2 linked regions of the Oryctolagus cuniculus genome follow. Each later gene encodes a partner of the first gene's protein in a complex. Links are inferred from orthologs where the notes say so. Each region holds a gene or a part of one and is shown on either strand. Other genes may lie near its edges.

The links.
Region 2: the proteins of EIF2S1 (region 1) and EIF2B1 are in contact, whole or in part, in a cryo-EM structure (PDB 6K72), measured with the Homo sapiens proteins. The link is inferred for Oryctolagus cuniculus from reciprocal best matches to the Homo sapiens genes EIF2S1 and EIF2B1. Residues at the interface, in NP_004085.1 of Homo sapiens: Ala28, Glu29, Met30, Tyr33, Gly44, Met45, Leu47, Leu48, Arg75, Lys80, Tyr82, Ile83, Asp84, Arg88; in NP_001405.1 of Homo sapiens: Gly39, Thr41, Ile42, Gln43, Gly44, Leu45, Arg46, Ala47, Asn48, Glu70, Arg74, Ser77, Ser80, Leu81, Glu82, Tyr83, Ser84, Asp85, Tyr86, Cys89, Leu305.

Annotation. Positions count from the first base shown.
Region 1 is NC_091451.1:13,233,207-13,237,020, forward strand, and holds part of EIF2S1 (eukaryotic translation initiation factor 2 subunit 1), read left to right. Parts: intron 1-472; coding exon 473-579; intron 580-2,331; coding exon 2,332-2,429; intron 2,430-3,085; coding exon 3,086-3,229; intron 3,230-3,814. UniProt on the Homo sapiens protein: Member of the eIF2 complex that functions in the early steps of protein synthesis by forming a ternary complex with GTP and initiator tRNA. This complex binds to a 40S ribosomal subunit, followed by mRNA binding to form a 43S pre-initiation complex (43S PIC).
Region 2 is NC_091452.1:5,814,249-5,817,800, forward strand, and holds the end of EIF2B1 (translation initiation factor eIF2B subunit alpha), read left to right. Parts: intron 1-492; coding exon 493-568; intron 569-1,525; coding exon 1,526-1,651; intron 1,652-2,121; coding exon 2,122-2,289; 3' UTR 2,290-2,844; downstream 2,845-3,552.

The sequences.
Region 1 (3,814 bases):
CTAACTAGAAGTAACACTTTCCTCTCCTGGTTGGTTTCTATAAGTTTTTCCTTGTTTTCATTCTTTTGAAGCTAGATTACAAAGTCCTTGAAGCAAAGGCTGCTAATTATATAGAAAACCTTAATTATAGTGGGATGTCAGATGTGTTGGGAGACATTAGGTTTCTTGTTTTAGTCAGATCTCTGTAATTTTTTTCTACTGGTAATTGATTGTGTTCTGTTTGTCATCCCCTGCTAAGTGCTTTACTTGCCTTATCTTATTTAGTATTCACCACGGTCTTGTGAAATTTTCATCTCAATTTTACCATTTGAAAAGGCCCAGTTACACAGTTATTAAAATCCAAAACTAATATTTCTGACCCCAAAGCCCATGCGTTTCGGTGTGTGCATTATTTCATGATATAGTATGTTTTGTTTTACACTTACTGGTACTATAACCTTGACCCTTTGTTTTATTTTGTCTTTTAAATCAGAGATCCATCTATTTTGGATAGTTTAGATTTGAATGAAGATGAACGGGAAGTACTCATTAATAATATTAATAGGCGTTTGACCCCACAGGCTGTGAAAATTCGAGCAGGTAAATGATTTTTTATAAATACTTGTATGTACCAGAAAAACCGTTAAATATTTGCTTTTACGGCCGGCGCCGCGGCTCACTAGGCTAATCCTCCGCCTAGCGGCGCCGGCACACCGGGTTCTAGTCCCGGTCGGGGCGCCGGATTCTGTCCCGGTTGCCCCTCTTCCAGGCCAGCCCTCTGCTGTGGCCAGGGAGTGCAGTGGAGGATGGCCCAGGTGCTTGGGCCCTGCACCCCATGGGAGACCAGGAAAAGCACCTGGCTCCTGGCTCCTGCCATTGGATCAGCGCGGTGCGCCGGCCGCAGCGCGCCGGCCGCGGCCGCCATTGGAGGGTGAACCAACGGCAAAGGAAGACCTTTCTCTCTGTCTCTCTCTCTCACTGTCCACTCTGCCTGTCAAAAAAAAAAAAAAAAAAATTTGCTTTTACAAAGATTGGTCAAACTAACCTTTTTCCATCCAGAATATCATGGATACCCTTCCATGAGAAAGAACATAGGGATCTTATTCTTTTTCATGGCTGGGAGAGCGGATGAGCTTTAACAAACCAGTCCCCTTTTGATGAGTGTTTAAGTGGTGTTAGTTCTTTTTTCCACAATGACGAACAAAAGAAATGCACTGGCGCAGGTGGGGCCGGCACTGTGGCGCAGTAGGTTAATCCTCCGCCTGCGGCGCCGGCATCCCATATGGGCGCCAGTTCTAGTCCCAGCTGGTCCTCTTCCAATCCAGCTCTCTGCCATGGCCTGGGAAAGCAGTAGAAGATGGCCCAAGTCCTTGAGCCTCTGCACCCATATGCGAGACCGGGAAGAAGCATCTGGCTCCTGGCTTAGGATCGGCACAACTCCAACCATTGTGGCCATTTGGGGAGTGAACCAGTGGAAGGAAGACCTTTCTCTCTCTTTCTCCCTCTCACTGTCTGTGACTCTACCTCTCAAATAAATAAATAAAATCTTAAAGAAGAAAGAAAGAAATGTACTGGGAGCCAGCGCTATGGTGTAACGGGTAAAGCCACTGCCTGCAGTGCTAGCATCCCATATGGGCGCCAGTTCAAGTCCCAGCTGGTCCTCTTCCAGCCCAGTTCTCTGCTATGACCTGAGAAAGCAGTGGGAGATGGCCTATGTGTTTGGGTCCCTGTACCCATGTGGGAGACCTGGAAGCAGCGCCTGGCTCCTGGCTTTGGATTAGCACAGCTCTGGCCATTGAGGCCATCTGAGGAGTGAACCAGCAAATGGAAGACCCCTCTCTGTCTCTCTCTTTGTAACTCTGCCTTTCAAATAAATAAATCTTTTTTAATAATTAACACATTTATACAACAGTTTTCAAGACCAATTCCCAAAAGTAGAATCAGTGAGTCAGAGGGGCTGTAGTTTGTAGACACACCGCAGTGGTTATTTCACTCGGCCTTCACACCCTCCTAATCTCCATTTATAAACAAGAAACTAATTTCAGAGAGGTCGGAATCGGTACTTCAACCCAGTCGTAACCAAAATTTAAAGTGTTTATTAAATATATTTATCATTTGTAATTTTGTTATTAGGTGACTTGATGTGGATTAAAAGTTACTATTTCACTGTATATTTAGATATTTTTCATTGTAAAAATTAATAACTGGGATTGATTGCTAATTAAAAGGTGATAAAAGCCTTTATAATTATTTGAATGCTAGTGTATCTACCTCATCTCTTGATATCTTTTAAATCTTTAAGTAATCCTTCCTGGGTTTTTTGTGTTAGCTTTTGAATTTTTGTAATTTTAGATATTGAAGTGGCGTGTTATGGTTATGAAGGCATTGATGCTGTGAAAGAAGCCCTGAGAGCAGGTTTGAATTGTTCTACGGAAACCATGCCCATCAAAGTGAGTCCTCAGTTTTCTCTCTCCCTGATGAAATGTTGAAACCAAATGAGATCCTTATTTGGATTTTTTTTCTGTGATCGTGTTTCATAACAAAAGTGATTTGTCCTTGAAATTGAACCGTGATTCTTGGTGCTATTTCTAGGGAATGTGTAGGCTTTTTGTGATTACTGCTGTCACAGTAGATGGGGAATCCTCTTGCTAACTTCAGTAAAGAGATGTAATGCCCACATGCTCTTAGTACCTTGAAAAGGCTAGCCTTCTCTCTCAACTGCACACAAACAACCTCTGTGAAGTTTGTTCTGACTCTAGCAATAAGCTGGATGGCTGTTATTCACAATCTTTTAGAATTCCTTCTGTGGGCTTAGCTTAGAGCCAAAGTGTCCATTATGCTGGAAATGACTAGTTTAGCCACCAGTGCCAGCCAGAAGCTATAATTAATTCTTCATAGTCTGTATTGCAATGCTCTGTTTATGCTACTGGACTAGGTTACTTTATTAATTATTACTACATTGACAAATGGTCCCAAATTGCACATCTACAGGATTGGGAGTTTTGAGGTGATTTGTTAATGCCACAAATTAATAACACAATTTTTAGACATCCTAATTGTTATGTTTTGTAGGTAAACTCATAATTGAATTTTATTTCTCTTTTAGATTAATCTAATAGCTCCTCCTCGATACGTGATGACTACCACAACCCTAGAGAGAACAGAAGGTCTCTCTGTCCTCAATCAAGCTATGGCTGTTATCAAAGAGAAGATCGAGGAAAAGAGGGGAGTGTTTAATGTTCAAATGGAGGTGAGCTCAAGACCTTCATTTTTACTTTGTTCCTAAAGTCTTTATAGAATTTAAATCATGGCAAATAATGTGCTCTGTAAAATACCTAATCACTGCCCTTTAAAACATCAAATACAAGAGCACTTCAAAAAGTTCATGGAAAATGGAATGTTAAGTATGAGTTTAGGGGCTGGCAAATAGTGCTGCAGCAAGCTAAGCCACTGCTTACGACGCCAGCATCCCAAAGGGGTGAGGAACCTTTTTTCTGTGAATGTCCATCTGGGTATTTATAGTTTCATTCGTGGGCTATACAGAATTATCAAGTTAAAAATTAACCTGCTGTAGATTTATTGAATCTCGAGTCACACCTGCAGTTGCTTTGGCAGGGCCAGGCCAGATGATTTCAGGGGCTTTATACAATTCACATGGACCAGATATTGCCCATTCTTGCTACATTGCAATGCTCATTCCAGTTCCAGCAGCTGGCTTCCAATCCAGCTCCCTACTAATGTGCCTGGGAAGACACTGAAGATGGCGGAAGTGCTTGGGCACCTGCCATCCATGTGGGAGATCAGAATGGAGTTCTTGGCTCCTGGCATTGGCCTA
Region 2 (3,552 bases), on another chromosome or scaffold:
CGGGTGGGTCAGCGGTCAAGGTCATCGGGGCTCTCCAGCCAAGGCTCAGCTGCTCCCGGGGCCAGCCGTGGGCAGGCTGGGCTGTCATGTCCTGGGTGCTGGGGCAGCCTCCGTGCAGGCTGGGCTCCCCTGGGGGGAAGGGGCAGCAGCGTGCTGGGCACTCAGCTCACCAAGCAGCTTCTCTCCCGAGACCAGCGTCACGCGTCCCTTGGATTGTGGGTGTTAGAACAGCAGTGATGGTTCGTGGGAGGCAAGCGCCCAAGGTGGGCGGTGAAGGAAGTCAGGAACACTCTCAGTATACCTGGAGGCAGCCAAACCCCTCTGAGCCACGCACGCGCCTGGCTGAGGTCGCCGCGTGCCTCTGCTACAGTGCCGGGCTCGAGTGCTCTTTTGATAAAAGGTCATCGTGGCTGGCGCCTTCCGTACTGAAAGGGAATACGGATCTTCCCAGAGGGCCCAGCGTCAACAGCACTGCTGTTCCCGTTCCTTTAGCTATATCATGGAGAAAGTGGACCTCGTCATAGTTGGTGCTGAAGGAGTTGTAGAAAACGGAGGCATCATTAACAAGGTAGGGGCCGCCCCTCTCCCCGCTGACCTGGGCGCTGACAGTGCTGTGTGCCTCTCCACGCCAGGGCCGCCCTGTGAGATCCCATAAGCCACTGCACCGCTCAATCAAATTTTGTTCTAATTTTCCTTGGAGATTGATGTGCATAAATTAAGATGGGGTAATTTATATTTACACAGCATAATTTGTATTTACACGAAACGAGTCTTAATTAGAGTTGGGGTTGGCAGTTTTGTTATTTTAATGGGGCGCTGACCTCAGCATAATTCATCTTCTCTGCATTGCTTATCTGGGAAACGTCGGTCTGCAGTTTATTCTCATTTGTGGTCGATACATGAACAGATCTGCCACATAATAAGTGCGGCTCAGCAGCTCTGAGTACATTCACAGCCTCGCTGACTGTCCTTGTCTGTTTCCAGAACTTTCCATTCTTTCCTCACGCAGTCCGTCGCGATTAAACACCTACCAGCCTTTCAGCCTCCCTGAAGGCCCTGGTCGCCTCCACTCTGCTTTCTGCTACCTGTGAGCACGGCTGCTGTGGCTGGGCACGGTGTTGCCGAGGTGTAGGCACGGGGCACGTGTCTGGCCCTCACTGTTCCCTTTTTAACTGATCCGTAAGCAGCCTGCATGTCTACGCAGTACCACGTGATGTGTGGCACTGAAGTGGGGGGCGCGCTGTGTGTGCATCCCAGAGCTTGGGCTGTTTGGGCTGTTTCTGCGTCCTGCCCCTGTGAACATGGTGGATCCGAGCCAAAGCCCTGGCTGGTGTCTCATTGACGCGCGGAGGTCCATTTCCCTCAGGGCCCTCAGGTCGAGTGATGCTGGGCGTCTTCTCGGGTGCGGAGGGACCTCTGACTCTGGGACCTCTGTGAAAGGCCCTCTGGTTCCAAGCCCTGTGCCCTTGCTGCGGGTTCCACGTCAGAGTTGCTCTAGGAGCTCCCCTTCGCCCTGTCTTCCCAGATTGGAACCAACCAGATGGCTGTGTGCGCCAAGGCACAGAACAAGCCCTTTTACGTGGTCGCAGAAAGCTTCAAGTTTGTGCGGCTCTTCCCGCTCAACCAGCAGGACGTGCCGGATAAGTTTAAGGCAAGAGGGGGCATGGGAGACTCGGCCTAACCCTTGGAAGAACTAGTGCCACCAGCGTTCCGGTTAGACATTCACCTGCCACTGCCGTTCTCTCCAGCATCAGTCGGGGGTCCTAAAACTTGCACTCCATGTTTGTCCCCAGAATTTCAGTCTGCAGCCCCCTGCCCACATAGCCAGTGGAGTGTGAGGAGAGGAGCCAGGAGGCTGGCAGCCGGGGTCCCAGCTTTGGAATCCACTCAGCTCCCCCCCCACCCCCGCAAACCTGTGACCAGGGGCAAGTGCTTTCACTGTCACTTGGCTTGCTTCCTGTCTGTCATCTGACAGGAGCTGGGGACTCCGGCTGTCCACAGGGCCTGGCACGTGGCAAGCACTGGCCCCCTCCTGGCCACACGCTGCCAGAGCTGTCTGAGGTAGCAGCACGCCCGAGCTGGCGCAAGGCCTCCCACTAACGCGTGCTCTTATCCCCGCAGTACAAGGCAGACACTCTGCTCAAGTCCGTAGAGACCGGGCAGGACCTCAAAGAGGAGCACCCATGGGTCGACTACACCGCCCCGTCCTTGATCACCCTGCTGTTCACGGACCTGGGTGTGCTGACGCCCTCCGCGGTCAGCGATGAGCTCATCAAGCTGTATCTGTAACGCAGGCCCCTGTCTGCCGACGCCCCCGGCGAGCCAGCCAGAACTGCACTGTTTTAATGAACATTGACGGACCACTGGAAACTTCAAGTCTGAAATCTTGGGGTCTTTTTTACTCGCCTCGCAATGCATTCACGGCCCTCAACCCAGACTGTGCTTGTGGTCTCCAGAAGCTCATCCTAGGTTTTCAGCAGCTCAACAAACAGTTTGCCGAAAGCAGCGCAGGCCTCCACGGCGTGACCGGGACGCCTGTCACACGGCGCCTTGCAGGAAGGTGAAGAACACGAGCCGAGTGTGCCTCTGGCTCAGGCGGTGAACAGGGCCGAGTGCCGCATCCCTGCACTGGCTCCCGCCCCACGGGAGACCACTGAGGGGGAGGGAGAAACAGCACGGGCGCTCGTAGCCCGCACAGCCTGGCACACACGGAGACACCTTCCCCGACACTGCAACCTCACATTCTGCCTCTGTGAGATGGTGACTTCCTTTACATGTGTCTGGGTCCTAAACATCCTGCCTGGGAACAGGTTCGGCATCTTTTCAAATAAACTAGGATCACGATGTTGATGTGTGCATCAGTAAGGCAGGCCGGCCCTTCTGGTCAGACACGGCAGCACGCCCACAGCCAGGCCGGGCGCTGGCCTGGTGGTTAATACACTCGCGTGCCCCACCTCAGTTCCTGGGTTCCAGCTCCAGCTTCCTGCTGATGCAGACACGGGGAGTCACTGATGACAGTTCAAATGACGGGGTTCCTGCCACCCTCGGGGACCTGGATTGTGTTCTGGGGCTGCTGGCTTTGGCCTGGCCCAGCCCGAGCTGTTGCAGGCTTTAGGGCAGCGAATTGGCATAGGAGCTCTGCCTGGCGCTCCACAACGACAGAAACGCCAATCAGAAAGGCATGGTTTATTCAACAGGAGGCGTGAAATTCAAAACGCCCTCCCCAGAATAGGACCCGATTCCTCCGCTTTTCTGATACTTGCCTGGGGGTGATTCTTAAAACAGCAAAAGCCCAGCACACTCGCCCGCTATGAGGAGCTGCAGGCAGGGCTCCAAGGGCAGTACGCGTAGGCGCAGGGGCCCAGGGCGGTCACGTAGGCGCAGGGCTCCAAGGGCAGTACGCGTAGGCGCAGGGGCCCAGGGCGGTCGGGCGCCTGACCGTGCTAAGGAGCTGCATAAAGCAGACTGCAGTGTGAAATCCAGGGACAGACAGCGACCAAGGCCAGCGCTGACGCCTGTGTTCACTCCCTGTCAAACTTCCTTCTGTGACAC